2 linked regions of the Drosophila melanogaster genome follow. The protein of the gene in region 2 interacts with the protein of the main gene of each other region in a biochemical or structural test. Each region holds a gene or a part of one and is shown on either strand. Other genes may lie near its edges.

Evidence for each region. The genes of interacting proteins can lie anywhere in the genome.
Region 1: the proteins of mud (region 2) and pins form a complex in vitro, tested with the Drosophila melanogaster proteins (2 studies listed by BioGRID).

What each region holds. Positions count from the first base shown.
Region 1 is NT_033777.3:27,580,856-27,588,278, reverse strand, and holds pins (partner of inscuteable), read right to left. Parts: upstream 5,440-7,423; 5' UTR 5,192-5,439; coding exon 3,905-5,191; intron 3,647-3,904; coding exon 2,957-3,646; 3' UTR 1,903-2,956; downstream 1-1,902. Other genes in the region: CG5639 (uncharacterized protein), read left to right, coding at 1-245, 314-1,593.
Region 2 is NC_004354.4:14,244,513-14,252,316, reverse strand, and holds the start of mud (mushroom body defect), read right to left. Parts: upstream 4,586-7,804; 5' UTR 4,198-4,585; coding exon 4,159-4,197; exon of another isoform or gene 4,093-4,158; coding exon 3,918-4,092; exon of another isoform or gene 3,782-3,917; coding exon 3,197-3,781; exon of another isoform or gene 3,127-3,196; coding exon 3,020-3,126; exon of another isoform or gene 2,943-3,019; coding exon 2,835-2,942; exon of another isoform or gene 2,673-2,834; coding exon 1-2,672. Other genes in the region: CG32599 (uncharacterized protein), read right to left, coding at 5,939-6,487, 6,553-6,698, 7,018-7,069.

The DNA of each region.
Region 1 (7,423 bases), on a different chromosome or scaffold from region 2:
CCACTCCTGTCAGCTGAATCCGGTCAATAACCGTGGTGTTTGCTGCTCCAAGACCCGTGATGTTTGCTTCGAGTCCATGGATAATGGTTGTCTGGCCACTGGCAAATCGGAGAAAAATAGCACGCGCTATAGGTTCAGTCCCAAGGCAAACAAGTGCCTACCCGTGGTCATCGACTCCGAGGCACCCGCCTGCCAAACTAAGAACCTCTTCCACAACGAACTCGCCTGCAACTCCGTGTGTCCAGGTAAGATGGTAGCCTCCGCTTTTGGTTTTGGAACTCCTCGTTAATCCATTTATTCGTCTCGTCCCCAGTGCTCACTCAATGCGAGCGCCTGAAGCTCAAGAACAACCTGGCTGCCCAGCGAACAGGACACTCCTCAGTTTGGTTCCAACCAAGATGTGACCCAGTCACTGGCCACTGGAGTCCCGTGCAATGCTTGGGCAAGCAGCCCCAACCCATGGACAGGCACACGGAGATCGTTAGTCGCGCCTTTGCATCGGAACCAGCTGCATCCGCTGGCGAGGAAGCGCCCGGAGTTTGCTGGTGTGCGGACAAGAAGGGTGCTCCTCTAAAGGGAACCCTCACCCGGGAGAGCGAACCCATATGCAATAGTCGACAGGCTCGTAACCGCAAGGCATTCGATTCTGGCGATCCTCTGATGGAGCAACTGATTGCTCAGCTCACCCAACTGAATGATGTCGCTAGCGAGGATCTGGACTTCGATGAGCTGGAGGCTAGGGTGCTGCCTGCCACCGCCAGTGCAGCGGAGTCCAGTGTTACGGAGAGAGTACTAGAGCTGGCGAACTCACTGCTGGACTCTCAGCTATCCGTGGAGCAGGCCACCCTGAAACCCATGGAGCTGAAGACCACACGTTGTCGAGCTCTGTCGAAAACGGCACCATTCCCGGTCAGTTGCGATGAGGCAGGAGCCTTCCGCCCGCTGCAGTGCAACGGCAGAAGTTGCTGGTGCGTCGATGCGGCCGGCAACCAGCTACAGTCCACCCACGTCTTTGGAGCTGGCGATCGTCGCTGCAGTCATGTTCCGATAGAGGCGGTGGCCATCGAACTCCATCTGACCAACAGCAGTGGCCGGAGTATAAGGAATGCCTACGACACCATCCGGCGGGAACTGCAGCAGCTACTCGGCGGTGAGTCCGTCGAAAACTTGCGCGTCCAAGAGAACTTCGATGGATCCGCTATTGTCCGTTTTGAGCTGCACAACGAGGCCAAGGTGGACTTGGCCTTTGCCATCGAGGCGGCAATTTCCGCCGGCGACTTCCGCCTGGCGGGCGGTCACTTCCGGCCGGACTTGACCCGCTCCCACTTTGTGCACCGCAGTGCTCATGTCCCAGTGGCTCAGGCGGCCACCGCCCAGGACGAGTCCATCCAGCTGGTGCTGTTCATAATGGCCACCAGTTCCGCCTTCCTGGTCAGCATATTTGTGGTCTATGTCATGCTGAAGCGAAACCGGAACCTCAAGGCGGCGAATCCCTATTTGAAGGGCGAAGGAGGCGACAAGCCTGTGGACTACTCCGCACCCATTTTCGTGCTGGCCGCCGACATGGACAGCAAGAAGGGGTTCGCCGCGTAGGCATTCCGTTGTTGAGTTATCTAAATCAATTTGTAAATAAAACAGAGCAAATTTAAGATCTACTTTTAGGGGGGAGAAGAGATCAGAGGCCTTGATTCTGCCCCAACTAAGCCAAAAGGGGAGTGCGACTAGAGGGAACCCACTTTCGAATACTTATCGCATATGTTCTAGCAACCTAAGACGATTAATTTATGAATAAAGCTTTAAAGTCGAATAAATAGTCTTTTTTTTTTTTTTGTCACATACTGATATGATCTTTAAGTATCTGAATCTAAAACCCTTATCTTGGAATAAAAATCACGAACGTGTCAGCAAACATTTTTTGATTTTAATATTTAATAATACACGACATAATTGTCCGCCTGTATGGTATCTTTCATTCGCAGATCCCGTAGATCTCGTGCTACAAAAAAGTATAACATTAATAAATTTTGGCTTCATTTCGTACAACTCGAACTCAGTTTTGTGTTTTTGTTTTGTGTATATATAACTTGTATTGTATATATTGTGTAGAACAATACCCGAAGAGGCAAATCGTTAGACATTGGTATAACTATATATATATTGTTCATATGTTTCTTGTATATGTGTAAGTATGATTGGTTGTGTATATCGTATGCTAAGTGCTTGCACAAGCGCCGGTCCTCAAATGGAATTCCGAGCTGCTATTCTTTGTGTCTTGTTAATATACTAACAAAAATTGTAAGTGGCTTAAAATATGTTCAGAGTTTAGATCGATCGATAGATTGATAGAAAAATGCAATACTCATAGTTACAATTGGATATATCTGTAGTTAGATTTTGATTTGGAAAATGCATTGCTTACATGTAGAGTGGGTTCGATGGACTTAAAACTTAATATTTAGCTGAATGTGGCTACGAGAATGTAAGATCGTTGATCGTAGAGAAGACTTGGTTCCGTCTATTGAGCAAATTGGATTAGTACATTAGTATTATCCGGCTTAAACTACTTGCACATGCAATTAAAACGTTAATATCGTAAGACTCGAGTGCATATCGTTCAATATCATGGCCAGCTCATGGTGGAGTATGTAATGAGTCATGAGTGGATGAGTGTGTGCATCCGTTGGAGGTTCCTCCCTCTGCTCGTGTAGACGAGGCCCTATACACCCCTAATATTTGGTTACGTGGTTAGTTGCTATTCATAAATTAATGCTTTTCGTGTACGTGTGTATATATAAATCTTGTAAAAGAACAAAATGTTTAGCAGCCAATTTCCGAAAATAAACGACTGAATAAATGGCCGCAAGATGGGCTTACAACGAAATGAGTCAGGAGCTGCGGCCAGGGATGGATTTATAGGATTGTTTGGTTGGACTTCAGCTTTTTGGACTACAACTCTCTACTTTCCAGCTCCGCCGGCTGAACCGTTGTTGTTGCTGCGGCTATTGTTGTTATTGTTGGCATTTCGGAACGGAATCGAGGCGCGCTGATCCTCCATGCGACCGCTCTGGACCTTCATGATCAGTGAGAAGAAGTCCTCATCGGGGACGGTAGCTCCACGTCCGGTCTGTCCGCGTGGTGCCCCTGGAACAGCAGCCTCTGGGACGGATCGCGGTGGTGCCTCCGCCTCTGCGTCCATGGTGACATTGGGGCGCGGTAACTCGGACCGCTGCTCCTCCAGACGCGAGCCTTGGCAGCGCATAAGCATGTCTAGGAAGTCATCATCGGGCTGCTGCGTAGTGGTGGCGCTCCTGGCGAGCGGCCCATGTCCAATGGCTGATGGATTCGCCGACGACGGTGACTTGAGGCCAGGCAGGTTGGTGGGATCCACGAACAACGAGTTCTGCTGCACAAGCGGCTTACGCGTGGCGCCAGTGGCCACCGCCGGAGCTCCGGCGGGATTCACCTTGATCGAACAGCGCTGGTCATCCATGCGCTTCGACTGCGACCGCGAAAGCATCTCGAAAAAGTCGTCGTCTTTGGCTTTCCTGGTCGCCTGTGCTCGTAGCTTTTCCTCCTGCATGCGCTTTCCATCGGGAGTGATCTTGATCAGGTCCAACTGCTCCATGCTCTGGCGACGAACGCGCACCTGACGGGAAGCAATTAAAGTAATAAATTTAGCTATGTATCTTTCAGGGGTTTCAATTTCTCAGCATGTGCTCGAATCGAAAGTTTAACGATGTGTTTTGGTACAAAGTATAAATATTTACGCTAACATAAAGGGGCAAACACTGCAAGCAGCAGGTGTCCACTTCGAAAAATAGAACAAACGGACTGCCAGTATTGTTTAAAAATATCTCAGGAATCATTCATATTGCTTTATGTTGTTGCAGCTCGTTTCTCTTACCATTCTTCCTTGCGAGTTCTCCGATCCATCCGACTGATTTCCGCTGGCCGAGTGATCGGAGGCGGTGGATCGAGCCTCCTCCTCGGTGGGTGAAGGCTCGGAGTCGGGCATTCCGAGTAGCTTTCGTAGATCGGAGATGTTCACCCTGGCTGTGCTTTCACCCACCGGGTCGTGCAGCTCCTTGGCCAGTTGAAGATGCTGTTCCGCATACTTTAGGGCCCGCTCATGACCACCGATGGCAGAGTGGGCATTGCCCAGTGACCAGCAGGCCCTGGCCTCACCAATTCGATCGCCCAACTCCTGGGCAATGGCCAAGTGTCGATTGTGATACTCGATGGCAGTGTTGAACTCGTGCAGCAACGTGTAGGTGTTGCCCAAGCTGTAGCAACTCTGGGCCTCCACTTCGCGTTCACCCAACTCAACGGCCAAAGCCAAGGTGCGTTTGTAGTGTTCGGCGGCGTCCTCGAATTGTCCCAGGAATATGTGCGAGTTGCCAAGATTACTGTTGGCCCTTCGCTCAGCCGCGCGATCACCAAACTCTCTGGCAATGCGCAGTCGCTCCTGATGATGCTCAATGGCCGCTTGGAAATCGCCTAGTAGGTAGTAGGTATTTCCCAGATTACCACAAGCTCGACCTTGAGCACCACGATCACCCAGATCCCGCATGAGCTTCAGATTCTCCTGGTAAAACTCCACGGCACGGGTGAGCGCCTCCTTGACATCGTCGCCGAACTTTCCAGGGTTTCTCTGACCCAAGTGCTTGCCCTTGGCGTGGTAGACATTTCCTAGGTTGTAAAGAGCGCGTCCCTCGGACAGACGATCTCCCAGCTGCCTGGCCAGCGTTAGGTGCCTCTCGCAACAGATGGCCGCCTCGTCGAAGCGACCCATTACCTTGAGGGTGTTGCCCAGATTGCCAGAGGACTTGGCCTCGCCCAGTCGGTCGTTCATGCTCTTGGCCAGCGTAAGATCGTGTTTGTGGTACTGCATCGCCTTGTTGTAGTCGCCTAGGTAGAAGTAGGCGTTGCCCAGCTGGGAGTAGATGGCGGACAGAGTGCGAAGATCCTCGGTTCCGGCCTGAATGGCCGCCTGGAAGAAGGCCACGCCCGCCCGGCAGTCACCCGCCTTGCAGAGGCGTTCACCCTCGAGGGCCAGTTCCAGGCACATACTGGATCCTCCGTCGGATCCGGAACCCTGCTGGGAGTTGCCGTCGTGGGAAGTAGTTCCTCCTCCGCCCGATCCCAGTCCCAAACTGGACACATTCTCCGCGGACGCAGAGAGCGAGGACATTCTGCTGCGAAGTCTCGCCTTTTTGTCGCGATGCTCCTTTTTGAGGGGCAGGTGCTCTGAAAACTGGGAGTTGTCCACTTTGCGGCGATGTTTTGGGGTCGATCTTTGGGGTTTTTAGCTAGCCTCTGGCTGGTTTTGAACTGCTGGTGGGTAAACTTAACTGCGACAGGTGAAATTTCAGCAATTAAGCGATCTTTTGTACCGTTTTTTTGACTAATTAGTGCGTTTCTGATTCACGACCAGTGTGACCGATTGGGGTCGATGAGAATACCAAGCAGATTAGAAAGAAATACCAACTTTATATGGTATGTCGTTGGATTTAAAAATAATATCTGTTATATTTTGTTTTAAGTCAATTGAACAATTTTAAATTACTTGTTATTTTTCCCCTACAACAAAGATACTATGAAAATTATATAAATAATATGCCTTTACCTCATGACCATAGCTTACATATCAGCAATATTTAGTAGCCCAATTGGTAATATTATATATATAATTACATTGTTTGATGGTTAATGTATGCATGCCGTTTGATTTAAAACTAATTTTTTTTTAACTTTAAGAAAAAGCAGTTTAAATTCATTTATTAGAATTCGAATTAGAAATCTTATCAGATGGTTGCCCTAATTTGAGAAATGTTAGCCACTGCAAGACCATAGCTTATAAAGGATCAATACTTATGAGCCAAGCTAAAACACAATTTTATCATAGTCTTTTCTTATTTTTGTAACGTATTAGTAAAATCTAAAATATATTGGCATAGTTAACATTTATCATTTTCGGTCAACAAGCCATAGCCCTCATCCCTATCAACCGTAGTTGGTAGCCAGCACTTTTGCAGACGCGCTTTGCAACACTAATCGCTTCAAAGATGGCGTCACTTCTACGGTGTCTGTGTGAACGATTCTAGTTGCCGCTGGAGAAAATTCGTAATTCTCGCATAAAGCGCACCTGCCGGTTACCAAAATCGATTGAAAAGCGAACGTCCCATATTGCGGCGCGATAAGCGGGTGAAATTGTGGCAGTGCGTGCGCGATAGACTGTTAGAAAAGCAGTGCAAATTGGAAGTCCGGATGCTCGAAGGTGTGTGTGTGCGTCGCTTTTTTTGTGCGGTTTTCAGCTGCAGTCGGCCAACAGTGCAACGCAAACATTGTGTTCTAAATTACATAAAGCAGGGAATTTCTGCACGAAGGCAACCGAAAAAAGGACTAAAAGGAAAAAATTAGCCACACAAAAGGAGAGCGAGTGCGACAGGGAAGGAGGGATACAGAGCGAGCGAGAGGTCGATAACGATAGCCTTGTTTGGTTATCGCCCTCGATAGGAAATAAAAACGGGAGAAAAACTTGAAAGCAGCGGCGTCTTTCAGTTCGCCGGTGTGCCCGTGCGTTGGATGGTATTTTGTGGTATTTTCATTCATTTTTGGGACTGTAGTGTGACCGTGTGTGGGAGAGAGCCGCCTAAATAGAGAGCGCGACGCGCAACAACAGTTTCTGTGGTGAGTTGAAACGAAACTCACCACGCTCTCACCCAGAAATCTGGCACAGTGGTCTCGAAACAAAAGCCAAATGAGTAATCGCACCTGGGGAATCTAGCTAAATATCAGCACCAAACAATTGAAAGTCAGCTAGATGAAAACAATAACAATAGTAATACTATTCGAAGTACTAATACTAATCAATTGGAGGCAGGCTTTTCGTTTGTGTGTGCCTGCTCCCTCTCGCGTATAGTATATACCCATGTGCCAGAGAGAGCAAGCCGAAAACGAAAAGAGAGCGCGAGAGTCGGACGAAGGAAAAAAATATCGCCACAGTTGCCGTATGCCGCCTTCGTCGTCGGTTGCAAAAGATATAGAAATCTTTTATATACACACATACGCAGTCGGTTTTTAATAAATTCTGCAGCGAAAATTCCAAGCCCGAATAAAGAAGGAGAAATAAAAGGCAACTAAACAAAGCCGAGTGCAAAATTAAAGCCAAATTTCCAAGGCGAATGCAAATTTTTCAAGTGCGCAGTAAGCGGCTAAATCCCCAGACGCAATTCGGTGTTTCAAAAGTTTTAATAAATAAATAAATATGTAATTACGCTCGCAATCCAGCCAGCCCGCACACACACACGCACACACAAATACACGCACGCAATCGGTTAGAATTCGTATGAGCATATATATTTTTTACTTATATTATTTTTAGAATATCGATTTTGTGCCGCGTGCGTGTGTGTGTCTCTCT
Region 2 (7,804 bases):
TTCAGGTTATCTACAAGCTGCTGGCCGGATTCCTTTTGACACTCCAAATCATCTGATAGCTTGGTCTGTGCCCCAATGGCAGAGTTAACATGAGCCAGTTCTTTCCGCTCCTTCTCCAGCTCCACTTTCAGGTTATCTACAAGCTGCTGGCCGGATTCCTTTTGACGCTGCAAATCATCTGATAGCTTGGTCTGTGCCTCATAGGCAGACTTAACCAGAGCCAGTTCTTTCCGGTTCATGTCCAGCTCCAGCTTCTGGCTATCTACAAGCTGCTGTCCTTCCTGCAGCTTTGCCTGCAGTTCCTCTAGTTTTGTCGACATAAGTACACAATTTTCAAGTGCGTCCTCTTTGAGCTGTGTTAAGCTTTGATTTTGATTTCTCTCCAAGTGCTCGTTTTTCTTAGCCTCCATGTCACATTTAGCTTGAAGAGCTTTAATCTGTTCTTCATACGTTTCCTTTATCTGGGCAATTTTTTCATCAGATGACTTCAGTTTGTTTTTCAGATCTTTCAGCTCGCACAACTTCATGGAGAGGTTCCTTTCCGAAGCCTCCAGATTTTCGATTATTTTCGCACGAAGGTCTAACTCTTTTTGCGCTTTTAACAAACTCTCATTCAACTTTGAATGCACGGTATGCGATACAGTGTTGTCCTCGCTTAACTTTGCGTTGACCTTCTCTAGGTTTTGGATGGTGTCGTTTAGCTGTTTTATCAAGGCACCCGAATGCTGGTTGGTATCCTTATTTTCTAGCTCTACCTGTAGCTCAGCCACTTGCATCTCCAATTTTGCTTGAGATTCCGTGAGCTTTTCTACCAACGACGAGGACTCCTCGTATCGCACCTCCATCTGGTCATACATTTTTAAAAATTCGGTCATACAAGTGCCCAGCTGCTGTGGGGTGTTTACGCCATTGAAATCTTGCTGAAGGCGATCCCTAATGGTATTGATAAACCTAATGGCTTCCACATGGTAGTCCTTTATTTCCTGCTGTGCTATGTCTAACCTCTGTGCCATTTCTTTCGCATTGCTTTGCTCCTTGCTTAGAGTATTTTCCAGCTGGACTACCTTTTGCTTTCTCTTGAAAGCTTCTTCCTCTAGATCTGTTATGTATTGCTTCACTTTTTCGGTGTTGACCTCTAGAGAAGTGATGAATTTATTGCGTTTTATTATTCCATTGATGTTCTGCTTAGCGAGCTCCTCATTTTTCGACCGAAGATCATCCAACTCCCGCTTGAGATCATCAGCCGAAAGCAATTGCCCCTCAATTAACATTTCAATATTCTCAAACCGCTTTTCAATATGCATCGATTCCAGAAAGTTGGTCGCTGAGCCCATGGTCGTGGATTTCGGACAATTTCTACTTCTTAAGAGTGTAAAGATGCGGGTCAGAAAACGATCAAAATGATTGTTATGCTCATCGAATGCCATGATCTGTGCATTCTTCGTTTCCAATTCGATCTCCGTTCTCTTTACAAAGTCTAGATGGGAATGCGTCATGTTGTCATGTTTAGCGCTGAGTTCATTTAATTGCTTCAGCATCTGTGCATACATCTTGTTATGTTCATCATGCATCATCTCCAGATCGATCAGTTGGCGTACGCGCCCATTTAAGGTCTCCCCATCTGGCACCATCATCATCCGGACCAACTCATCTTGGGCCGCGTTCTTAGCAATTAGTTCATTTCGACACACTTCATACTTGGCTCTTAAAAGCTCACCGCACTGCTTCAAATGCTGTGCATGGCTTGCCGCACTGGCCTCTTTATCTGCAATTTGGCTGAGCATATTTTCAAGGTTTATATTCCTTTTGCGCAGCTCCTGAATTTCAGCGCCCACATCTTTTATCTGCTTTTCCTTCTCGATTAGCTGCAGATTGATATCGGCCAAATGTTGATCCCCGCGATCAATTATTGATTTAAGCTCAGCGCATTTATCATTAAGCCTTTCGTTGTCTAACTCCAGGTCGTTGTTTTTCGATGCTATATCGACTACCTTCATATGACAACAACTCAAAATGGTTTCACACTCACGGCTCGATTCGAAACCCGACTCCATTGCCTCCGGTATTGTGGCCTCGAATCCATCTAGCTCTTTTGGCTGGCATCCCAGCGATACAGATAACAGCTTGCATTTCTCCAGTAGTTTTTCGACGCACACAGACTGAACGTCGCATTCCTTCTTCATTTGCGTACTCTTCTCCAACGTGTTAACAAATTTACTTTCGATCGCAGAAATGGTGGACAACAGGGACGACGATGTCCATTCTACCGGAAACTCGTGATCGATATTGTGCTTCTGAAGGAAACTTGAAAGGGCCTGACATAGCTCCCGCTGGGAATTGTTCAGATTCAGCAGCTTCTCCTTTAGCTCGGCATTCTCATGCTCCTTCTCGCGCAACTGTTTGTCAATCACGGAACTGGCCAAATTCTCGGGCGTGGTGTTCGGCGACAGCGAACAGTCGAGTAAATCCGAGGATGCGTTTAAGACCTCGATTCGGTTGTGCAAGTCGTCGCGGGCTTCTTTAAGGCACTTATCCAATTCCTGTTTATCGGACTCCAGAGAGGAGATCATAACGTCCCTGGACGATACGATACGAGTCAAGTCGTCTACACGACTTTCAAGGAATCGAATGCGGTCCGTATACTCCAGCAATCGTTTTCCTGCCAGATTCAGCTATTTAATGAATGCAAGATATAACATATATTAGATTTCATTATGAATTGAATGTAAACGAATATAATCTATACAGTTGCTAGTTTTTCGCTAACATTCGCACAAGACCCGGTGGAATTTTCTTTATAGTATAGTCCCTATAAAATTGAACAGGTAGCTTACCTTCTCGGACAGCTCGGAATTTTCGACACGCAAATCATGCAGCTTATCGGTAATCTCAGCGATGAGACTCTCCTTTAGACCGATTTCCTTTAAAAGGCATCCCTTCATCTGAAATGAGGATTAAAAGTTTTATTAGTTTATAGCTCCCGCTCGCTACCTGTGACCATCTGCGCTAGTCTACCTACATGCTCAAACTCATATGGCATAATGTGGTGGCTCTCGTTATCGTGGTGCTCTTCGGTTAGCTTCACGTTTCTTAGTTTTTCTAGTTCCATCTTGGCCATCATTTTCTCTGAAATGCAAACGATTATGAAATTACTTGTAAAAAAATTATGAAAGTAATGCATTCGAAGCATTCTAACCTTTGTTGAGAACTTTAATGAGCTCGTCCTTCTCCATTTGCTGCTCCTCCAGCAAGGCCTTTTCGTAGCGCACCACCTCCAGCTGGGTACGAATACCGCGCAGCTCCTTGGTGCGTTGCTCCAGTAGCTCCGTTTTCGGGGTCGAAGGAGGTGGCATTTCGCAGCCATTCAGGCGAAGTTGTTCGCGATGATTGCGCAACTGTGGCGTGCTGCTCGACGGCTGTGACGATGACGATGAGGGCGTGGATGGGCATGGTGCATCATCGCTCCTCGGATCGGGACTCAGGCTGCTGCTGGGAAGACATGGGCTGACTGAGGTCGAAACCCCTTGTCGGTAAACAACTGCAACGTTGGCGATCGCCTGGCTAAGATATTCGCGCGTCAACAGCCTGTCCACGGTCTCTCGAAAGAAGGATGCGATGCATGTCTGTGTCAGCTCCGGCAGTTTATTGCAGATGTTGTGAAAGAACAAGCTGGGCTTCTTAACGCACGAGTAATGCAACAGGAGCGTGTAAACGTAAAGGCAATCCAAAGGCAGATCGACTTCCTTGTCATCCTGTTGTGCAATGAACTCGGGATAGTTATCTGCATGGGAAAATTTACAAGTTAGTGGGTTCATGAAGTTGGAAGTGCGCTAAATTCTCATACTAAGGCTTCACTATTTATTAATGTTTCCCTATACCCTATGAGAAACTAGGAAAATAGGTAAAAAAAAACTTACGTGCTAGGAATTCCTGCACAAGGGGGCTTTGTTCTGTGGGCTGATCCTGCAGCTCATTCTTCCCCTTAACATTTTCCGTCTCCTGGATCTTTTGAATGAAGACCGAAAAGAAGGAGTCCAGATCCGACTGCTCCAAGGTAATGTAGTTCGATTCGATGAAGTGGCACTCGCCAATCTGCCGCAGAATTGGGTTAATCTAAATGATTCCCAGTGCGTGATGCGCAATGCGAGATTTACATACCCACTGGAGTAGGACCTTGCGCCAGCTGCGCGTGTCCATTGCGAATTTTTGTGCGTTTTTATGGGTGTGTGTGCGCCCGTATATGTATGCTCAATGTCTGCGTAGACTAATCACACTATCATTGTTGGCATCCAGTAACGGATGTTTTCCAGAACACGGCACAGCACACAAAACAATGTACGCGAAACAAACGGGTTTCGATCGAAAACGCAATTAAACAAAAAATATATTTAGCACAAATGCTCACGAAAACCGAATATTTGTTTTTTTTTTTGTATTTTCCAACCAGAAGCACAACTGCTCCGAACGAGCAATGAAAATTTAATGACTAAACTGAAGTCCGCAGGGCAACAAACAATTTTGACAGTTCCACAAACGAAAACATAGGTAACTAGATACGAAAAAATGCAACAACTTCTCGTTTCGGCGGCGCGTCGTTTAATTCAAATGCCGCAGCGCGACGCCATGCGAGGTGCGCTCGGGTATTGTTATCGGGCGATCGATACTTTCCAGCTGCAAGCCAGGCCGCGTCCACTAGATGCGTTTCTGCTATCGATATCTGTGCGAAAGAAGTGGCTTGTGTTTCCACCATGGCATATTGCATAATTCAAGAAACAAATGTTTCACATGAAATTTGATAAATAATTCAATCTACTTTGTTACGAACTGCTTTCCTGCCTTAGTGGAACGGCTCCAACTGCAATAACCTGTTGCTTTAATACCAAAGTATCCAAAGTATATAGTGATATTTTCAATTGAAATTATCAATTAATATATTAATATGTAATTAATATATATTATCTAATGTAATTTTCCAAGTATGGAAAAACTAGTTGAATCCCGCTATGCTGAAAAACTAAGCAAATTCCATAATTGAAACCGCCTTTTGTGTTTACCCCAATCTCACACATAGATGGCGGCACTGGTCTACAATGCGAATTTCCTGCCAAGTAAACAAGCAACCAAGTGGCTTCTATTTTGGCGGGGAATTCCAAAATCCGATGGCCAATAGCGACCGAGTGTGGCCCACCACATGTAAACTATTAAATTGTAATAACAATAATCAATGACCGAAAACAATGTGCCCGGAATTGCCACCCACCCATCCTCGTTTCTGGGCACGCACACGAGCACAGGGTAGCCGAAAATCTAGTTATAGTGCTGATCGTTAAAAATAACGCCACCATTAATTCGGACAAACAATGGAAATGCACCGCTGATGTACATGTAAAGCAAAAAAAAAAAATCAGAGAAAAAACCAAACATTTTAACGTAAGGAAGTAGGCAGAATAAACAATATGGTGGTGCGAAAACGACAAGCGGTTCAAAAACTATTGTCTAAATTAAGCGTTACAAAAAGAAAGCCATCAGCTTGATCGAAAATCAATAATTACAATACTTGAATTTCAACTTGAAAACACCTCGCCAAAAAATCTCGAACTAAACTATTCCATAACTATTAGTTTTACAACTCACTTAAATCAAGTTGTAAACACACGATTTTGAAAATATTCAAAAGCCAGATGGGCTGAACTATGTGCACAATACAATTCTCACGTATTTAGCATTGATTTCGTTACGAAGATCGGAACATTTCCTTCCTTTTGATTGCCGTCTATTTATAAAGGCGAATTTCCTGTTTATATTTTTTATAATACATTTATTTAGTCGACACAATGGCGAGGTCGGGCCTCCGCCCCCCCCCCCCCAAAAAAAAAAAAAAAAGAAAGAACTACTCCACTTCCACATGCATATGTACATCCATCCAGATGGTTATATCTCACGGAATCGAGCTGACACGCACCACCTGCGCCAGTGGCAACGTGTCCAGGCGCTGTAGTCGCTGTCGTTTCTCGCCGGGATTGAGCTTGGCCGCAGCACTGGCCTGGCCACCTGGACTGGCGACCGTACTGCGACCTGATCTCGTACCCGGACCAGATGCGCCAGCTGAATCCGTGCTATCGCTCTGCGCCTCCACCAGTTTGACATGGGCGATGGTCTGACCGAAGAGCTTCTGCCGGAAACTGGGCCTCTTGGGCGCTCCACGATGCACGCCAATGTCCGGCGTATGCGAGCGCTGATGGCTACGTTGATGATGATCATCTCGCTCCACGGAGCGCTCCTTGTGACGATGGCGTCGCTGCTTCTTGCGGTGCTCACCGCCACCGTTGGGCAGCAGCTCGTTGACGTAGTGCAGCGAACTGGAGGCACTGCCCGTGGAATCGGTGCCGGAGTGACCATGATGCGATTGCGCCTTCTTCGCGTGGCGCGCATGCTTCTCCTCCAGCTCGATTTTGTTCTTTAGCGTCACCTCCTCGATGTGCCGCTCCTGGAAAATGAAAGAGCATCGCTGAGCATCATTCATTGGCTTTCCTCGTATTTGGTGTGTCCTACAAACATGGCACGCCTGTGCTTGTCCCTCTTGGCCAGGACGACCACCCAGGCGCCGTAAGAGAGCATGATGCCCGCCGGTACCAGGACGCCAGCCAGCGAGTTCTCCGACTTCCGGACGCAGGCATGGTAGACGGCCAGGAAGAGCACTGTGGAAATGGATTTGAGTTGAGTTCGTGGCTACAGTCGTGCTTCGCTAACAACGACCAATTCAAAATGAGCATGCGAAAGTCGGTGGCAATTCGATTTGCGTGCTCTAATTTAGTTTAGTTTTTAGTTTTGTTTACCAGTTAAGAATTCGAAAATGATTTTAATAATGGTTTTCTCAAAAATCTAAAAGATCTTTTCATGTAAGCATTATTAAAGAGATACTTATGAATTTATACCTATGTATGTGAATATTTTTCACTTGGCTGGTTTGTGTTAGGCAGGCCTGACTGTAGTATTACAAAAATCCCAAAAACTTACCCAGAAAACAGACGATCACAGCCACCAGACGTCCATTGGCTTTTCGCTCCTCCTGCAAAAGGACAACATGGATATATGGGAATATGAGAAACGGGGTCACCAATTCCAATCAATTTGCAAAGTTGCAAAATTGGATTGAGAATTTTTCAGGGCTTTTCAGGGTTGGCTCTCTTTTTGTTTTTGTGAGTGATGCCATAAAAACAATTGTTTACAATTTTCACGTTCCGTGCATATAGAGGCTTATACACGGCAAAAAAAAGTGCAAATAGGTAAAAGCAAAGAAATCTACGTGCATTTCTATGCTGGACAAAAAGAAAAAAGTGATAGTTTCTTGCAAATAACAAAAAGTTAAGTGCCTTGGATTTTGAAAATAAGATTTCAAAAATGCTTAAATCAACTTGGATGCCAATTAATTTGTTTTTAATTGCACAAAAGTTTCCGAAAGGGAAACTCAATACCGATTTGATTATCTTACACTTCATAAAATGGCGTGATTTACACAAAAACGCTTGGGCATTTTTTTTTTTTTTGTGTATATCTGGGACTTTTGTTGATTTCGCTTCGTTATTTGTTGATCGCAAAATGCGTGCCTGATTTTATACAATTTGTATTAAATAGGTTTGGAAATTTTCAAAAAATAATGCGTATGCATGTCAAACTCAAATCAATTAATTTGGAAACACGCTTCTTCCAGTGTCATTTTCTGCACTTGCTGTACATTTTCCAGTTAACTATTAAATGGCAAATGCATTCTTAACATCCACTGTATGTGCAAAAAGATCTAAGG